Drosophila melanogaster: one gene and its partner. Changing the gene in region 1 together with any one later gene gives a genetic interaction. Each region holds a gene or a part of one and is shown in the gene's direction. Other genes may lie near its edges.

Evidence for each region.
Region 2: of l(3)mbt (region 1) and pum, changing one suppresses a phenotype caused by changing the other (phenotypic suppression), as found in Drosophila melanogaster (one study listed by BioGRID).

The regions. Positions count from the first base shown.
Region 1 is NT_033777.3:27,267,166-27,275,056, reverse strand, and holds the start of l(3)mbt (lethal (3) malignant brain tumor), read left to right. Parts: upstream 1-1,783; 5' UTR 1,784-2,046; intron 2,047-2,115; 5' UTR 2,116-2,216; intron 2,217-2,860; 5' UTR 2,861-3,283; coding exon 3,284-3,914; intron 3,915-4,683; coding exon 4,684-6,288; intron 6,289-6,356; coding exon 6,357-7,891. Other genes in the region: CG5934 (uncharacterized protein), read right to left, coding at 742-1,094, 1,172-1,226.
Region 2 is NT_033777.3:9,233,952-9,239,097, reverse strand, and holds the start of pum (pumilio), read left to right. Parts: upstream 1-2,072; 5' UTR 2,073-2,288; intron 2,289-4,433; 5' UTR 4,434-5,146. Other genes in the region: D1 chromosomal protein, read left to right, coding at 1-579. UniProt on the Drosophila melanogaster protein: Sequence-specific RNA-binding protein that acts as a post-transcriptional repressor by binding the 3'-UTR of mRNA targets.

The DNA.
Region 1 (7,891 bases):
TTCCCCACACACACACAGCTAGAGCACCAAGTCACACACACACACCTTGCAGTGTATTTCGCAATCACTTTTGTTGCACGTTCAACTGTTCTGGTGTAAGCACGATCACTTTTCTTGTTTTTCCTATAGTTTTGGACTGGTTTTAAAATGTTCCGAGCAGAGACTACGACTTATACACGCTTTCTACGTTATTCGAATACGAAAAGTCACTGCTCAATTTGTTGTTGCACGACCACGACGAACAGCTGGCCGACCAAAGTTGCCAGGCCGTTGTGTAGGTAGGCAGTTCAAAATTTTCAAATAAAATGTGAGCAGGTGTTTTTCTAATAATTGCTAAGATTTATACAAATAAATACATTTTATTATTTAATTAAAAATGTCACTCTGTTGTAAGTTTTGCAATTCGATCATGGCTATTTAGTAAAGCGACCTCTAAAAGCAGCTGGATTGGCAGTGCTGCCATCCCGTTTTCCTTTTCAAATTCTTAAATTGCGTGGGGTATTATTGATTTATTAATTATCTATATAAATTAATTACTTCTATGTATAAAATACATAGCGCGCCATAAGCTTAAGCCTAAACAAATACAAATTCGACAATCGGGCAACTGAAATAACATTGCAATAGCTTAATTTCGAGTGTTACAGATTAAAATATACATGTAGCTCTAGCGTGAACGAGAAGGCATATTTGAGAAGGTTTTTGGTTTCCAGTACCGGTGGGTCGATTGACTATAGAAGATTACTTCTTTTTGGCCGCACTGGGACTGGTGGACTGGAACACCGATGAGGCCGACATCAGGTTCTCGATGTACTGGCCGAGCACCTGGTTCTCGGAGCGCAGCTTCAGATTTTCCTCCTTGACGGAATCGACGCGTTGCGACAGGTCGTCCAGGGTGTTCTGCAGCTCCAGGACCTGTGTGATGAGGCGGGCCTTCTCCTCCCGATCGTCCTGGGCCATTTCCATGGCCTCCAGCGAATTGTGCGATGAATCTGGCGTGGAACTGCGGTTGGTGAACGATGAACGCAACGAGTCCATGGACCTCCCACTGGGCATTCGTCCCGTCGCCGGTGGCTCGTCGTCCGGAATGACCACTGCGTTTTTGGGGGGGATTAGCAATTGATAACATCATCACTCGGGACTCCACCCACTCCCTCCAGTTTTCACTTACCCTGTGGATCCTCGTCCATGTTGGGAATGCTGTCGTCATTGTTTAACAGGGACATGGCTGGCAGTGTTCAGGGGTACTCTTTATTCTATAAAACTTAAACTCTATTCACTTTTGCCAAATTTCTCTTAACAATTGACACGAAAATAAAACTACCCTTTGGGAAGTTGGCCAACACTAGCTGCTGGCGCTGCCGTTGTTTAGTATGAGCGGCGTTTTCCAGTACTAACAGAAGTTTAAGGAGAAGAAGAAGAAGCTGTATTTTGTAATCTTTGAAGCAATTAAATATTGATAAAGTTGCTAAGTTAATGTGCGGTTTTAAATATATACAACTATTCAGAGGACAAACTCTTTTCGTTAAAATTGTTCCGAGAAGGTAAAAAGCTCTGTTGGATATTGCGAAATTTTCCTCTGCACTTATTTTACAATATCAGGTACATGTAAAGCCATCGCTTGATATTAATTTAAGCATTTAAGGCTGCTAAGTAGCGTATTTCCAAAACAGTTAACACCAAACAAGAAAGGCTTCGTTTATTTACCATTTTATTTCCGCCTTTTCAAAATAACCGACATCGGGCGCACACGAATCGGCAACCAGAGTTGCCACCTGAGCCGTTCGATCATAGAAATTAAAATACACACATGCTTTTGCAGTTTTTAATATTGTTGAACGACAGAACGCTTCCGTTTCGATGGCACTGCGTAATGTTTCGAGCTGCTTTAGTTGGCTTACCTGGTGAAAAATGTGCTTAAATTGTTAAGATTTTCCGCCCGATTTCGCTGGCCATTCGTTTTTGCCTGCATTTACGAGGTCGAACGAGCAGTAACACCCTCGCAGCAACAAACTGCAGTTCAATCGAATCATACGGTTAAAGCAGGTAAGCCTACATATCCTGGCCCACCTTTCGACACTCGCGACCTGACTTTCTGAACTTCTATCATTCCAGCCGTGTTCGGCAAGCCAACAGCATCCCGATATCCTGGTTTCCGCCTCCTCCGCGGCTGTACATTTCATTTCGCTCCGCGGGCAAAAACGAATCGCGTGCGGGTAAGTCAACAGTTGGATCCTGGCAGCGGAACCTGTAGACTCTCTGAAAGTGAAAAATGAAGACGCATTCCATGGGCCCTAGACCAAATTCCCTGGCCAGTGGTTCATCCGAACCAAGATAAGAGGTTTCAGTTATTGTGACATTGGGTGGGCTGCTACGTAACATGGGGCTGGGAGATCGGATCGGTTTAGCCATCAAGGGCTCGTAAATGTGGTCGTGAGATGGGATTCAAAGCCCAGAGGAGCTATTTTTAGGTTCTAGTCGTTTTTGAGATAACATAAATCTTTGGGCAGCATAACTAAAAATGGTATCAAAATTCAATATACGTGCAGTGTGGCCGTACTGGGGCAACGAGGTTTTGCCCAATGGCCGCGGGTAAATTGTAAAAACAAAAAAAAAAAAAAAGCAAGCGCAATAAACAGAAATATTAAGGTAGGATAACACAGGTATTGTAACTAATGACTTTAAGCTGCTAGATATTTCCCTTTTTATTGGGACAGATGGCGATTGGCTATTAACAGCGAATATGCATACAAGTTGCAAAGCAACTGCTACCTGCTAGCTATTTTCTGATTACCATGCTTTTGCAGCTTTAAAATCCTTATATAGCATCCAAAACTAAATCCAACTTAACCTTTTTCAGGTAATAACAAACCCAAAGTAACCGTAAATATTTAAAACTAATTCGCAATCTGTGCATTTAAATACCAAATGTTGGTATATTATCAGAACCGAGAAACACGAACAATGAGAGCAAGGAAACGCGCGAAACAATAACTTTAATTCAAAAACTTAACAATTTCTGCGATTTTGATTAAGAGAAAAGTGATTGATGAATATACGGATATAAAGCACAAATCGCGCGATCGAGAACATAACAAATTGCCAAATAGTTTTGTGAAAAGGGGGAATACAAAAAAATACTAACGCCGGTGTGGAGTGTAAAATGCCAAAAACTTTTGTGCGCCTCAACGTACAAACATTGTAAAGACAAGAATATAACTTCGATTTCCGCTGGTTAAAAAAGAAATCAAAAATCCATAGCTCTAAGCATAAACGGCTCAAAATGCTGCCATTGTCGATGGCCAGTGCGGAGGCCAAGCAGCTCCAGCGCAATATATCATTGTCCATGTCGCCAGCGAATGGAGGAGTCATCTCACCATCTACCGCGAATTGCAATGGTGTTGCCTCTGCCTCCGGCGGAAATCCAAATCCCAACAGCCTCCTCACACTAGCTCCGCGCAAGGAGGAGCTACGCTTCCTGCCCCTGGCGCCCATGGGCGGCAACAAGACCTGCAACATCACCATCAGCAATGTCCAGCCAATGAAATCCAAACTAAAGTCGGTCAACATAGTGCCAAATTCCATAAAGTCCGCTGGAGCTGGCGCCACTGTCGGATCAGCAGATGCTCCCCTGTTCCAGCTGGTGCCATCGCCCAGTAATCCCAGCCAACCGTTGGTGGCCATTCTGGCCCCCAATCGCAAGACCACGCTGCTTGGCGGAGGTGCATCCAATGGCCAACCGGTGGTCATACGCTCCGGAACACCTTTGCACAAGAACAGCCTGACCGTTGAGACCAGCAACAAGCCCATCCAGCCAGGAGGATCGGCTGCAGCAGCCGCCGTTGGAGGCGGAACTGGAGGAGCACCTTTAACGCTCGTGGGCAAAACGGTCGTTCCACCGAAAATACAAGCGGGTAAGTGTAGGGTTTCGGTTTCCCCTTCTTCCGAGTTATGTAAGTTATGAGTTACAAGTGGGTTTCCCCAGTCTGAGAGGAAGAGGAAGAACAGATCCCCCAGATCCGAGGCCAGTCGGAAAATGGGAAACACTCTTGCAAAAGTGTGCGTGTGTGTGTGTGTGTGCGCGAGTGTGTGTGTGAGTGTGCGTGTGGGGTGCGGGGCAATCTTTATAGTTTACTTTCGTTGTTCACATCAGTCTGCGGGTTTAGTTTTTAGTTGTTGTTCGACGGCTGCACATTTCATAACACCAATTTAATAGGGTTTGTGTTCGTGTGCCATTTTCGGAAAATAAGTTCCAAGCATCGAATTGGGTGGGTGCCATGTTCCATGACTGGGTCGGTACGAATTGGAGAAGCAACACGAAGAACTTATTGCTATTTCCAATATATATGATGTATATATGCTGGTTTTATCAATAGCAGTATGCAAAAGGCGGGGTGCCAGCGAGAACAACAACAACAACAACAGCACCAGCAAAGCGACACTGATGATGACGATCAGGTTTTTGCAGCTGCAATAAGAGGAGAAGATTTTGGATCAGCACTGTCAGAGCGCAGTCGATCGGTGCGGTGAGGGTGCGGCGGTGCGGGGATCGGGTTCGGGTTCGGGTTCAATGGAGGATCCAATCGGATTGCCTTCGGGTGACTAATTAAAGAAAATTCAAAGCTAATTCGTGTTTCTCTATCTTTCTTTATTTCTGCTCTCCATTTGGATGCAACCGTACAGCGACACCTGTCCAGATTCCCAGCACGGGTCCGGGTGCGCAGGTATCCCTGCTGGCCAATCCCCTCAAGCCACGTGCTCCACTCATACTCAGCAAGGTGGCGGTGGATAAGCTGCGTCTAAAGTTCAGCCAGGTCAAGAGCAACCCAAATGCACTCGTTCTCGGCAAGGCCAATCATGTGAAGAAACTTCTGACATCGCCGAACCCCAGTGGAGAGGATAAGACCAGGAGCACCCAGAAAAACAACAAACAGAATACTAGTGCCAGCCAACTGAAGCCAGTTGTGGCACCCAAAACGGCTATGCCCATTGCCACGGAGGTGCCGACCGCCGATAACAACAAAATGAGCCTAATTAAGTCCAAGCCCGTGGCCATCAAGGCAGTGCCGCTGCCCAGCCAGGAAGCGCCCATTGTGCCGGCAGTGGCGCCAGTTGTTACATCTCCAGAGAAGGTCGACGTTAAGCCCACTGCAAAGCCCTCAATCAAGACAGCACCCAAACCAACTCCTAAACCTCTGGAGATGTCCGTAAATGGACCAGCCAAGGAGAAAAAGGCGCCTGCCAAGGAGCAGAAACAGAAGACAATGGACAAACCACCGGTGGTCAAGGAAATCGCTCAACATACGCCATGTGGGCCCAAGGAATTGCCCAAACTAAAGCGGTCGAAATCCTTCGTGTCCAACCATCCCGCTTCGCCTGTGGCCAACAACGAGCGACGTCACTCGGTGGCCATTATGGCCAAGGAGGTGGATGTGATCGAGCAGCCCAGTGCGGCAATCGAGACCATCACCATTGAAGACGATGATGAGAGCGAGGAAGAGCAGCAGAAGCCGGAAATTAAGAAGACGCCGAAGCAGAATCAGAAGCCGGAAAAGCAGGAGGCGCCGAAGAAGAAGCAGATCCCCATGCCCATTCTGCCCGCAGGAATAACCATTTCCACCACCAGTACGGCCAAGAAAAAGGCCGTGAGAAAGAACTCCTCCGTGACGACAATCTCTTCTAGTTCCAGCGACAGTTCGTCCTACAGCGATGTGGAGGTGGTACCGACCAAGAAAACCGAGAAGGAACTCAGTATGCTGCCTGGCATAAGCATCATCAAGGCGGAATCTCTGCCACTGAGCAGGGAGGACTTTGAACGCTCGTTGCGTTGCGATGAGCAGGTGCCCCAAACTCCGCCCAAGTCATCCTCCTCATCCTCGAGCGGCTCTCACGCATCGGAAATGTCGCCGCCGCCCAAACTCGCCGATCCGAAGCCATCAAGTCCACCTGCAAAGAATGCCAAGAAAGCCAACGACCATGATGCGAACCCATCTCCTAGCAGCAAGACCAATGACTTTAAAAAGAGCATGATGCAGAACCTGAACATGTTGAAATGGCGCGGCCAGCAGCCGGCCAACCTGCAGAACTCCACCGTCCGGTTCGAGCTGAATGAGTTCAATTTTCTGCAGATAAACGAACGCTGCCAGCCACGCCAGGGTCCAGCTGCATATTTCGAGCGGCCTTTGTATGATCGTCCGGGCCGCAGGCCCTCGGCCTGCGTCCATCCGCTGCTGTACTTGTGCCAGCGTTGCAATTTCCACGGACCCGCCGCCGACTTTCTGGCACCACGTGAGTAAAGAGAGCAGCTACCAAAGTCCCCAAACTCTATATATATTATATATTATTTTCTCCTACAGATTTCTGCTCCGTTGGCTGTGTGCGTCGATCCCAGAAGCGTCGTCTGCCGCAGAGTACGCAGAAGGAGAGCAAGATAAGCCGTACCCAACTAGAGCAAACAGCTGGAACAGCGCCAGATTTGCCACAAAAGCGGCAAACCAACTACAAACCACACAAATCTCTGTCTGCCATACAGGAACAGCTGCAGCAACGTCAAAAGGATAAGCCCAGAAAGCCATTCCGCTGGAGCGAGTACCTCAAGTCAAAGGGAAAGGATGTGGCAGCGCCCATCCACCTGTTCCTCAATCCGTTCCCCATCAGTCCCAACTGCTTCGAGATCGGCATGAAGCTAGAGGCCATCGATCCGGAGAACTGCTCGCTCTTCTGTGTCTGCAGCATTGTCGAGGTGCGCGGCTATCGGCTGAAGCTTAGCTTCGATGGCTACTCCTCCATGTACGACTTCTGGGTGAACGCCGACTCGCAGGACATCTTTCCGCCAGGCTGGTGCGATGAGACAGCACGCGTTCTGCAGGCGCCTAAGGACTACAACTCGGAGCGCTTCAGTTGGAGCCGCTATTTGGTGAAAACGGGCGGCAAGGCAGCTCCGCGGGCGCTCTTTGGTCATCTGAATATGCAGCAGCAGATGGATGTGCGCAACGGCTTCGCTGTGGGCATGCATCTCGAGGCGGAGGACCTGAACGATACGGGAAAGATTTGTGTGGCCACAGTGACGGATATTCTGGACGAGCGCATTCGAGTCCACTTCGACGGCTGGGATGACTGCTACGACCTGTGGGTACACATCACCTCACCGTACATCCATCCCTGCGGTTGGCACGAGGGACGCCAGCAGTTGATCGTTCCGCCGGACTACCAGAAGTCTGCCTTCATTTGGGATGACTACATATCAGAGGTTGGTGGAATGGCCGCCTCCAAGGAGCTGTTCACACCACGCCAGCCAATGGAGTACCAGGAACGCATGAAACTGGAGGTGGTGGACCAGCGTAATCCCTGCCTAATTCGTCCGGCCACCGTGGTGACGCGGAAGGGTTACCGGGTTCAGCTGCACCTGGACTGCTGGCCCACGGAGTACTACTTCTGGCTGGAGGACGACAGTCCCGATCTGCACCCCATCGGCTGGTGCGAGGCCACCTCGCACGAACTGGAAACCCCGCCTGGCTATCTTCAGCCCAAGTCCGTGATGCCTTGCGATGTGGAGGGATGTCGGGGATTTGGCAACGCCAAGCGCTTCAACCTCAACGTGCATGCTTTGCGGGAATGCTGTCCGTATGCGCCGGAAAATTGGCGTCAGTGGCGCTCCAAAACGGTGAAACCGCCGCGTGTGGCCCCCGAGAATATCAGACGTGGATGGGCGAAGAAAACAAAGCGTGCCTGTTCGGAGGCCAAGCAAGCCATTAAGGAGGACTCCCAACAAGAGATTGTCTACCCGAAGGTCGCGGAAGTGGTGCAAGCCAAGCGAAAGACGTCTCCTTGTGAGGAGAAGGTTGTGAAAAAGCAGAAACAGATGCAGAAGGAGGAGGATGCGGAGCAGGTG
Region 2 (5,146 bases), about 18 Mb from region 1:
TCCGTCAACCTGAACATATCGCGCACGGGACGCGGCCTGGGAAGACCCAAGAAGCGGGCTGTCGAGTCCAATGGCGATGGGGAGCCACAAGTGCCCAAGAAACGCGGTCGTCCACCACAGAACAAGTCGGGTAGCGGTGGCAGTACTGGCTACGTACCCACCGGTCGTCCGCGCGGTCGTCCAAAGGCCAATGCTGCACCCGTCGAGAAGCACGAGGACAATGACGACGATCAGGACGATGAGAACTCCGGGGAGGAGGAACACAGCTCGCCTGAGAAGACGGTAGTGGCGCCGAAGAAACGTGGACGTCCCTCTCTTGCCGCTGGCAAGGTGTCCAAAGAGGAAACAACAAAGCCCCGTAGTCGCCCAGCGAAAAATATTGATGACGATGCAGATGATGCTGATTCCGCCGATCAGGGCCAACACAACTCCAAGAAGGAGTCGAACGACGAGGACCGTGCCGTGGATGGGACACCAACCAAAGGAGATGGCCTCAAATGGAACTCCGATGGCGAAAATGATGCCAACGACGGTTATGTTTCGGATAACTACAACGATTCCGAATCGGTAGCTGCCTAAAACATACAATTTATAAACATTTCCACACACCCCTCCCCAAAAATCAACACAAAAAAAAAAGAATGTTGTAAAAGCAAAAAAAAAAAAACGAAAAAAAATCTGCAAGTAAGAGAAGAAAACACAAAAATGGATAGGACCTACTTGGACTTTAGAGAACCTTCCCCTCCTAAAACAACACACTTTGTCTACATATATATTCCGATTTATTGCTGAGAAATCGGACAAACCGTTTACAACTGCACTGCACTGTAATGACGACACATAGCTCGGAAAACGATTTCAACTTGGATTGAAATTACCAAATAAATAACACATAAATAACATATTTGGGGAAGATTTCAAGTTCCGAAGTAGAACTGAACTTTATTGTAACAACAAATTTGATTTGATTGCAGAAATTTCAATCGTATACAAGTTTAAATAAACCTACTATACCTAAAAAAATTTTGTGTAATTTAGTTTTTATATATATCATTTAACATATATTATCTATTGATATAAACCAGATGGAAAAATATGTAAATCCATGGTTGTATTGATTCTTTATATACAGTGTTCACTGTACTTTACATTATATGGTCACTCTGAAGAAAGTGAAGTTATAAACGGTAATTGTTGTAATGCTATTTTAACAACATTAAAACTAGGGCAACTAGTTAAATGCATTATAGAACATAAAAATCAATTAATTTCTCTAATGGGATAGTAAATGAAATTATAACTTACATATAGTAGTATGCTAAATTTTTGGTATCTTAGAACTATTGGAGAGTGTTTCTCAGTGCGCTTCGCAATGGTATATTTGAACGGTCGAGCTGCGGTCACACTAAATGTTCGCGCGTAAGAAGAAGCAGACCTAGAACGGCGTGCTTGTAATATGTAAATTTTTCAAATAAGCTAAGGTGTGAGTACCCAACAGCTATAAAATATGAAAAGTATTTTAAAACTGCCAGCCTTATGCTGATAGTTCGACAGCATTGTTTACATTTCCAATCGGCGGTAAATCACAATCAAATTTGCGGCTGCGAAAAAAGATCACAAATTGATAAAAAAAAAAGCCGCAAACAAAAACAAAACAAACACCCTGGTGCGTGTGTATGTATGCGCGAGTGTTGGTCTGTGAATGTGTGTGCTCAAGTGTGTGTTTGTGTGCGACTGGCGTCTGATCAAATTTGGCATGCCCCTAAAATCGATTGATAAATAATATATAAACAATTTGGCTGGGGCAGCGTAATTCATTTGCCAGGGTGAATATAAAAAAGGGGGTGATGATAAAAGAACAAGAAAATGTGTAATCAATTTATATAAATATTTTGCGCGCATGTTAATAAAAGTAAAATAAATTGTCGGTCTTTTGCGCTCGCACCCCCGCTCTTGCTCTCTCTCGCACTCTGTGGGCATGCTCACTCGTTCTCTCTGTTGATTTCGCACGTTTGCCAACACTGCTCTCATTTTGGGGGGTTCTTGTTCTCTCCTCTCTCTCTAGCTCTTTGTTGTAGTTGTATTTGGCCAGTGTGTCTTTGCATTTCGCTTTTATTATCGTTCTGCGACGGACGGCGGCGACGTTGAAGAAATTCCTGGCCGATTTCTTCTTCATCATCCTGTGTAAATAATTGTAATTTAAATAATCTAAATTTCGTATTTAACGAAAGCACACACACCATCAAATCAATGGAAATGCAAACGAGAAGGCTTTTTTAAGTGCATGTGTAAGTGTTTCAAAAAAGGAAATGAACAAAAAAAAACAGCTAAAAACCGTAAAGTACTCCTGTTTCGTTTTACATTGTCATCATCGGGTTTCCTTTTCCATTTCGGCGGCATGAGTGTATGTGTGCATTTCCAGACCGCTTTTTGTACATATGCAAACATGTATAAATAGTTTGCGAAATTAATTCGTATTTTGCCCGAAAAAGGTAAAAATCAATTAAGTGTGTGCCTGAATAATTTATATGATTCCTTTCTTTTTGTTTGGTTGGTGAACAAATTTTTCCGATTGTGCGTATGTGTGCGAATGTGTGTGTTTCATTATTTCCTTATACCATCGTGTTCTTCCTTTTGAGCGGTGGCCATTTGGCTGCTCTGCTTCTTCCTTCTCCCCGCGTCCCCCCGCCAAACCATTCAGCTCCCTCTTACGTGTGTGTGTGTGCTCTCTCGCTCTTTCTCTCTCTCGGGACGCCTTGCAATTGTATATATGTGCTTTTCCCAATAAGAACGCCTAACTACCAACTAAAATATTAAACAATTCAAATGGTTTTAATTCCTAATTACTTATTGGCCGCACCTCCTTTGTTTTGTCCGCCATCTCTTTTATGGTTTATCTTTATGTTTGTTTTTATATATACCCCCCTCCCCTAGAAGTGTGGGTGTGTGCGAGCTTCCAGGGGCACAGCATTCGCGTTCTCTCTCTTCCTTTTCGCATGCTGCACTTGTCTCTCCTTTTTTGGGGGGCTTCTTGGGAGGCACGAAAGGACCGAAAGGGAGAAATGGAGATATAATTCTCGTAAACAACCCAAAAACAAAAAAAAAAATAATAAAATAAAAGACCGACCCACTCGCATTCTTTTCGCTGAAAACGTAACCTCAAATGTTTGCGGCCGCCTTTCGCCTTCGTCTTCGTTTCGTTTTCTTCGCCATTCGTTCTGTCGCATTCGCTCATCGTCTGCCGGCATCGTTCTTGTTGTTGTTCTTGCTCCTCTGTGTGTATGTTAATTTTATATGTTTTCCATTTTCGACCGCCCCACCACCCCCCGCTATACGTCTTTCCGTGTGCTTTCCGCGGGAGGCGCTATAACAATAATTCTGTTCACAAGTTTTCCAGATATGTATAAATTCTTAGATGTTAAACAAGCCGCTATACGTCTTTCCGTGTGCTTTCCGCGGGAGGCGCTATAACAATAATTCTGTTCACAAGTTTTCCAGATATGTATAAATTCTTAGATGTTAAACAAGCCGATCTACAATGTAACCAGATTTTAAAAAGGGATTTTGTTTCTGTTTTCATTGGATTCCATATTTTGTACAATGGATATTATTATAATCCCAAACTATTATAGAATTTCATGTTAAAAGAGTAAAACAGGATTTGAATAATCAGATCTAAAGATCATTTTCATAATGTTGAAATGCAATGGTCCTAATGGTGATTTATAAAATTTCGTTAAAACCTTTTTGGAACTGCAACATAAACGCCATTGTTATCGTGTGCCAACTTTTTGTTACGGTTGCTAAGCACTTACGAATAGATAAAGTCTGAAAAGTTATGTATTGATAGTCACTGATAAAACTAGCCTGCATCGTAATTTATTAAGAGTATTAATCCAATCGGTCTTCAAAGAAACCAAATTATATTTTCCGTATTTTTCGAGCATGATTCAGCGCTGCGTTGTTCTTCTATGGATAGTCTGCTTCTGCGACTTGTTCTTGGGGCTCCTGTTCCTCAAACGTAAACGCAACGCACACACTCCCCCCCCCCCCCCGCAATTCACCACTTATCGGCATCTACTTTGTTATTGTTTTCGTAATGGGGAAATCATGGCTAATATTTGCCTTAGTCGTCTTTCAGTTTTAGAAGAAATTGTTTTGCTTTTACGCGTGCCTTGTGCGTTTTATTTTGTTGATTATTATTATGTGCCCTGTCTGCTGTCTGTGTTATCGGAATCTTTTCTTTACCATGACCAGCTCAAAGTTTTTAATCGCACAAAAGTACAGTGGTTCGAGTGTCGTATTGAATTGGGAATAAAAACTAGCATCATATAAAAAGTTATTTGATTCGAAATCGATAATTTCTCAACAATTTATTTCCAAAAACTACTGCGTTTACTAATCACAGTTTACACTTTAATTTCTCATTGCAGTTTGTGTATATTTTCATCATTAAAACGTCGTGTAAATTAAAATTCATCCTAATTATAATTAATAAACTACATTAATAAACGGAAATTCCACAATTCTCAACAAGAAATCTGTAAAAATTCAAGTTTTAACCAATTCTCATACGTAATTAAATAAATAAAGTTCAGTTTTGTTAAGTCCCAAAAACAACAGCTGTGCAACTGTGTAAAATATTATTCATAATTTTGTGTAAATTTATGTAAAAAAAAAAAAAAAAACAAACCAACCACGACAACCAAACCAAACGAAGCAAATTCAATTTTTTTGATCAAAAAGTGTGTGAAAAATCTCAGCAAAGCCTGTAAAATAAATATTAAATATATTAAGCAAAAAGTGTGGTTTCTTTTACAACAAAATAAATAAAAGCAAAAAACAAGTGTAAATCTGAAGCGAAAATTAAAAAAAAATTATATGTAACATTTGTGAATATTTCCGAGCGAATAGTGTTGCAAAACGCGCGTGTGGTTCTTTGTGCTGCAAGTTAAAATACAATTCAAGTTGGCAATACGCGCAAAATTGTCAGCTGCGATAGCTAGGAAAAGCCTCCAAAATTGAGCTCCTAACCGCGCCCACAATTGCCATATCGACGCCCTCGCCGCAGCAGCAACACCAACAGCAGCAGCAGCAGCAGCAGCAGCAACTCTATCAGCAACATCAACAGCAGCAGCAGCAACAT